Xenopus tropicalis: one gene and its partner. The protein of the gene in region 1 interacts with the protein of each later gene in a biochemical or structural test. Links are inferred from orthologs where the notes say so. Each region holds a gene or a part of one and is shown in the gene's direction. Other genes may lie near its edges.

Region 1 (3,184 bases):
GCAGGTCTCAGAAGACTAGCCATTGGCAGGTTGGAAGGTGTTCTCTGGAGATGTCATGGCGGACATACTGGCTAGTTTTCATGTGATAGACCACAGTACCCTAAACCAGTGTACTAAATGGAATCATCATTGTCAACCTTTCCTCTTTTGTGTCTCTGATGGCACTCACTCACTTGATGGAAACCTGATCTCTTTTCCCTGCTGTTAGCTCGCATTAGTATATAACACAGGAATATGAATGTTAAAATGACAATCCATATTTTATCCATATCCAGATAAAGCACAACCAAGCACTCAGTAGGAAGTGGACAGAGGACCACGAAGTGCAGAACTGCATGTCATGTGGCAGAGGATTTTCTGTAACAATAAGAAGGGTATGTGAAATGATAGCTACTATATTTCAGATATGTTCAAAGCTATGTGCACTTTTCATGAGTTTACCGAGTGTGTCCCAGCTTGGCAAAAGAGTACATAGCAGCCCAGCTATTTCTTTGCAATGCTGCATTCTGCTTTCCATTCCATTTTAGATTGCAGGCCTTTGGATCCAGCGCTGTGTTAGTCATGCGCATATTTTAGCCACACAAGGTAGAGAGTGGCAGGATACAGAGCCTGCCTGGGGACCTTTGCTGGCACTGCCTTTTGCACTGATTGCCAGAATTTTTTATCCGGCACTCAGAGCCTACTGCTGGCTGGGTTATGGACTTTATCCTTTTAGCATAAAAATGTCACATTGAGTTGCAGTAAATCTAATCTTATTTTGTCTTTTCATTTGCAGCACCACTGTAGACAGTGTGGAAATATCTTCTGTCATGAATGTTCCTCGAAGAATGCCTTAACGCCCTCCTCCAAAAAAGCTGTGCGTGTTTGTGATACATGTTTTGGTGACCTGCAAGGATAGGAGCCACTCCCTCAATAGATACCTGCAAATTACACATAGTATTTTTGTTAATGCACTTCATAAAGCACTCAAAGTACTTATTTCTTTGGATGAAGATTGATTGTAACCTTTGGCACCACAGTATACCTTTGGAAATATTTTATTGATACAAAGTCAGATAATTGTATTTTTCATGACAACATGAGGCCAGTTGATGGTCTTTATCCTGCCTTTAGCTTTCAGTCAAGATTTTTTAAATGTGTTTTTAGTTTGTTTGGTTTGGCTGCCTGTAAATAGTAGGCTAACAAAGAGGCAACTGCGTATTTTTATACATAATTTCAGAGTATACCAGGAAATCAGTCCAATAGTTTACTAATATTTGGGTTCGGTGGGAATAATAATCTGGCTCTCATGGTTTATACCTTTCTTTTATTAGGGGCAGCGACTTGCCACTGTTTCTATTGTTCCTTTCCTATTGCCATTGTGCCCCGCTCTTGTATTTTGGTTGTTGTTCTCCTTGTGGCTTGTGTCACACATGGAGAATATCTGTATTCTAACACAAGATCCATTCTTTCCTGTAGGATCCTAATAGTCTATTTGCTGTACAAAACACAATGAGAAAATGCTGTTCACTAAACTCCCTGTGTGACCTAAGCCCTTGCCTCCACTGCTGCACAAAGCTGTACAAAAACGTTCACCTTCCTAGAAGCTAAACCCTATTGAGATATTCTTAGAACTGTTATATAGCACCAAACAGAGCTGGAAGAAGGCCTTTTGTTTGTAATAAAATGAAAGCCCAAAATGAATCCTGCAGCTGTATTTGCTCAGTGTCCCAGCCATGGGAAGTGAAAGCATCGTTTAAGCAGGTACCATCATTGCGGCTAGGATGAAACTATGTTATTGGCCTTTTAAAGTGACACTGATACATCCAGATTTATACACGAGTGTGTTTCTTCCGGATGCTTGCTAGCACTAATGTAACCTGTTAAACTAACACCTTCCCTTACCTGTAGCCAATCCCAGTTATTTTTGTCTATTAATCTACAACACCTTTTCAGTGATCGCTGCTGCAGCAGTAATATCCTTGGTGGTTGGGCAATAGTGATGTGTGGGCCGACAAAAAGCTGACCCTAACCTGTGTCAAACCTGTATCTACCTCTGTTTATAGACCCACGCCAACCCACGACATCTCTGATGTCATAAAGAGGGTGGGATGAAGCTGGTATGCGCCTATAAATAGAGGCTACAGTAGGTGGAAGTGGGGTTTAGTAAGTTCACGGCTGTGGAGGGAAGAAGGTAAAGTTTGGACTGAACGTGCCGATGACCAGCAAGTCTTGTGCACATGTGGGGCTAAAGGGGGGGGGTGGGAGTCAAGGAATGTGTCACTGTCACTTTAAATAGACAACTCCTGCTCAAAAGTTAGTGGACTGTTGCTCTTTATGTTAAAACTGAACAAGAGCTAAAGATACTGCTGCATTGTAACCCCAAGAGCCATGTTTGGAATATTTCATGGGTCTGCAAATGCAACTCTGAGCAAATTGTTCTTCCTTTTGAAACTACTGTTCATTTTTCATATAGGCTTCACACTGTCCCTGTTTGTTCTCGTCAGCATTTTAACTGACAATAGTAAACACGAATATTAATTTTACATACTGGCTCATGCGAAATGCTAAACCACTTTAGTAGCTTCACGTGTGAGAGTTGAATGCTGTTAGTATTTTATTAGTAGATTTGGAAGATTGTCTTAATCCTGTGTTATTCAGTATGTGTACAATGATCATCATTTTTAGAACTGTATTTTCTACAGAACAATAAAACTGGTTCAGTTCATCTTCTGCAGAAAGAACGGCACAGTGAGGCACGTTAAAGCTAATGCCTGCTCGAAACCTGATCCAGATATGATACAGGCATGGGATGTATTATCCAGAGACCCGTTATCCACAAAGATCCAAATTATTGGAAGGCCATCGCCCATAGAAACCATTTTAATTAAACATTTGAAATTTTAAAAAATGATTTCCTTTATCTCTGTATTAATAAATCAGTACTTGATCCTAACTAAGATATAATTTATCCTTATTAGAGGCAAAGACAATCCTATTGGGTTTATTTAATGTTTTAATAATCTTTTAGCAGACTTAAGGTATGGAGAGCCAAATTACGGAAAATTCCCTTCTCCAGAAAACCCCAGCTTACGAGTATTCTGGATAACAGGTCCCATACCTGTACAAGGCAGGGTGCAAGGTTTGTAGGTTTTACTGAAGGCTGTTGTCTTTGTACTGAGCTCTATTTGGAGGCATGTAGGTA
Region 2 (3,829 bases), on another chromosome or scaffold:
TATTTTATGGTTAAATTATTCCTTTTTTTCCTTACCCTCCTCAGATTGGGGGGGTACAGCTATAGGGTAGAAATTAAAATGTAGCATATACACTTTCATCTCATAATGTAATGCTTGGGTGCTTTTTTTTTTGTTGTGCTAATTGGTGTCTTGAAAGCCACACTTCCCAAACTGGGGTTTCATTTCCTCCTCTGTGTTGACCTTAGCAACTCGTCACAGACCTTAGCAACCTTACCAACATTACCCTCACACAATCATAATAGTGCTAATATGTATATAATAATAACAATAATATTATGTACTTCTATCTCCAGCTGCCTTTCTAACACAGACCTTATGTTTGGATGATACAACGGTGAAGTTTGAGATCTGGGACACGGCAGGGCAGGAGAGGTATCACAGTTTGGCCCCCATGTACTACCGAGGAGCCCAGGCAGCCATTGTAGTTTATGACATCACCAATACAGTAAGTGCACATTACATGAAATAATGCCCTATCTCTCTGCTCAGTCCTTGTCCTAATTGCCCCTCTCCAGAGAGCAGCCAATCACAGATCTGCCTCCACGCGGGGAAGGTCCTGCTGCTGGCTCTCTTGTCACAGACTGGGAAAGCAGCCAATGGGAAGGCTCTCTAGTACCAGCACTTTTTTGGATAAATTTTTAGTACAAAGTACAAAAGGCAGTGACTCAAGCAACTTTCCACTTTTTTTCCCCCTCAATGGTAAATATTTATTCTTGACATTATACGACAGATTTATGATTTTGAGGTTTTTTTATACTGCTTTTTTTCAGTTTCATGGAAAAAAAAACACTTGAATTTTTGCAAAATTTCAGATTTTACAGAAAGAGACCTAAATGTTCAATTTGTATTAAAAAAAAAAAAAGCTATTTTCAAATTTCAGTTTTCAAGAAAAATTTGACATTTTGAAGGTTTTAATAATAAAAGAAGATAGCAATTAAGGCAATTTTAATATGTTACAGAATGTACTATTCCTAGCAACTTTGCAATTGGTCTTCATTATTTCTTTTTTATAGTTTTTATTATTTGCCTTCTTTGTCTACATCTTTCCACATGGGGGGGGGGGGGGGGTCACTGACCCCCAGCAGCCAAAAAAACCTTCTTCTTACAATTGTATTTGAATTATTACTTTGTATTCCTTATCTTTTTATTTAGTCCCTCCTCTATTCATATTCCAGTCTCTCATTCACACCCACTGCCTGGTTGCTAAGGTAAACAAGACTCTAGCAACTGGGTAGCTGCTGAAATTCCAAACTGGAGAGCCGCTGAACTTTCAGTTCAGCGGCTCTCCAGTTTGTAATTTCAGCAGCTATCCGGTTGCTAAACGACTGACAAACTACAAAAAAAATAAAGACCAATTGCAAATTGTCTGAGAATATCAACGTCTACATCTTAGTAAAAGTTATTTTCAAGGTGAATGTTCTCAGTACAACACTTTTCTCTATGAATTTCTTTTAAAGCTCTGTACTTTGTTCTGTAGGAAACATTTGCAAGAGCAAAAAACTGGGTAAAAGAACTTCAGCGTCAGGCAAGTCCCAACATTGTCATTGCCTTATCTGGGAACAAAGCCGACCTCTCCAGTAAGAGAGCTGTGGATTTTCAGGTGAGCTTGTTTGTTTTTAAGAAATATCATACTAATGGTTTGGTTCACCTTTAACGTTTAATATGTTATAGATTGGCTAATTGTAAGCAACTTTTCAATTAGTCTTCATTTTTTATCATTTATAGTTTTTGCATTATTCGCCTTCCTGTTCTGCCTCTTTGCAGCTTTCAAATGGGGGTCACTGACCCCGGCAGCCAAAACTATTGCTCTGTGAGGCTCCAGTTTTATTAATATTGTTACTTTCTATTACTTATTTTTCTATTCAGCCCCTCTCCTATTCAAATATCGGTCAATCTCTCAAATCACTCCCTTGTTACTAAGGTAAATTGGATCCTAGCAGCCAGATAACTGCTGAAATTCCAAGCTGGAGAATTGCAGAACAAAATTAAAATAACTAAAAAAAAATCAATAATAAAAAAAAATGAAGACCAATTGCAAATTGTTTCAAAATAGCACTCTCTGTGTCATACTAAAAGTTAATGTAAAGGTGAAAAGTACACTTTTTAAAATATATTTACTTTTGTAAGAGAGAGAAAAATAAAAAATGTTTTCAGTATAGTTAGTTAGGCAAAAATGTAATCTATAAAGGCTGGAGTGGGCAGATGTCTAACATAATAGCCAGAACACTACTTCCTGCTTTCAGCTCTCTAACCTCTTAGTCAGTCAGTGACTTTAGGGGGGGGCCACATGGGACATAACTGTCAGTTTGCATTTGAATGTGACCCGTGTGCTCACAAACTAACTGAACACTTATGTCCCATATGGCCCCGCCTAAAGTCACTAACTAACTAAGAGGTTAGAGAGCTGAAAGCAGGAAGTAGTGTTCTGGCTATTATGTTAGACATCTGCCCACTCCAGCCTTTATAGATTACATTTTTGCCTAACTATATTGAAAATATTTTTTATTTTGCACAGACTGTCTATTTTACCCCGTTTCATTTTTACACAGAGCTGTTCCTTTGAAATTCTGTAGTCAATCCCAAGTCCATGCATGGCACTGCCCGGCCTGACTCTGTTATTTATATATATTCCCGTGCATCTTACCCCAGCCCATAGTGCTCTCCTCATTGTCTGCCCCTTGAACTACTGCCCTTCTGTGCTCCTTCCCTGTGCCTGCACTATGGGCAGAAGACTCATCCCTGCTTAGTGGAGCTCACCCTAGCAACGTATAGGTAAGGCTGTCACATTGCCTGTAGCTCATCCAGTCTCCTCTAGTGCACTCTCCCAGCTCAACCAATTGGCTAGTGTAAAGGTCCCCGTACACTGGCAGATCGCCAAGCCAGCGGATCTTCTCACGATATCACCACCTACAGGTGTGTAGGCCCGTCGGTAGTGCCCGTCGGTAGTGCCCATACACGGGCCGATTAGCTGCAGAATCTGTCTAAGGGACCCATATCGGCACCTACTATTGGCCCGTGTACGGGGGCCTTTAGAGCAGTGCTGTTATAATTCCCAATAGCTGGCTCCATGGATCCCTCCAGATGTTTCCTGTGCCGGCATATTTATCTATCTCAGTACTAAATGTCAGCTCCCCTCTGCTGGTTTTCCCAGTGATCTATTGTGTTCCAGATATATTGCTTCTAACTGATACCTTGGTTTATTTTGCTCACCATGGAATGTTCCATTTGCAGGAAGCTCAGGCATACGCTGATGACAACAGCCTGCTCTTTATGGAGACCTCTGCTAAAACCGCAATGAATGTGAATGAAATCTTTATGGCCATTGGTAACGTTATTGTGTTTTACTACTTCTCATGAATACACAAAAACTCCTTTCTGAAAACTCTCTGTACTGCTCTTTTTTTTACTGGTGCTTTTAGTTTATACCCGTTACTTGATGATTTATGCCTCCCTGCTTAATTTTTCTGCACAAAAGATCTACTCCAGCACTGGGGGGGGCTGAAAGGCTAATCTTGCAAGCAGTACTAGCACAGATTGTTATGTTGGTGACGGAAAGGCAGGCAGGTAGGCAAGGGCCACACACAGATTAGCAATTAAGGGGGAAGCAAAAAAAGGAGTTTGTAGTGCAGCAGAGGTTCATTATTGTACAGGTATAGGATCTGTTATCTGGAAACCGGTTTCCAGAATGCTTGAAATTATGGGAAGGTAATTTCCCGTAGACTCCATTTAAATCAAATAATCCTTTCTTTTTCTCTGTAATAATAAAACAGTACCTGTACTTGATCCCAAATAAGATATAATTACCCCT

The links.
Region 2: the proteins of eea1 (region 1) and rab5c form a complex in vitro, tested with the Homo sapiens proteins (2 studies listed by BioGRID and IntAct, with this or other methods). The link is inferred for Xenopus tropicalis from reciprocal best matches to the Homo sapiens genes EEA1 and RAB5C.

The regions. Positions count from the first base shown.
Region 1 is NC_030679.2:55,861,738-55,864,921, reverse strand, and holds the end of eea1 (early endosome antigen 1), read left to right. Parts: intron 1-275; coding exon 276-374; intron 375-775; coding exon 776-898; 3' UTR 899-2,669; downstream 2,670-3,184. UniProt on the Homo sapiens protein: Binds phospholipid vesicles containing phosphatidylinositol 3-phosphate and participates in endosomal trafficking.
Region 2 is NC_030686.2:6,904,400-6,908,228, forward strand, and holds part of rab5c (ras-related protein Rab-5C), read left to right. Parts: intron 1-314; coding exon 315-466; intron 467-1,498; coding exon 1,499-1,621; intron 1,622-3,252; coding exon 3,253-3,346; intron 3,347-3,829. UniProt on the Homo sapiens protein: The small GTPases Rab are key regulators of intracellular membrane trafficking, from the formation of transport vesicles to their fusion with membranes.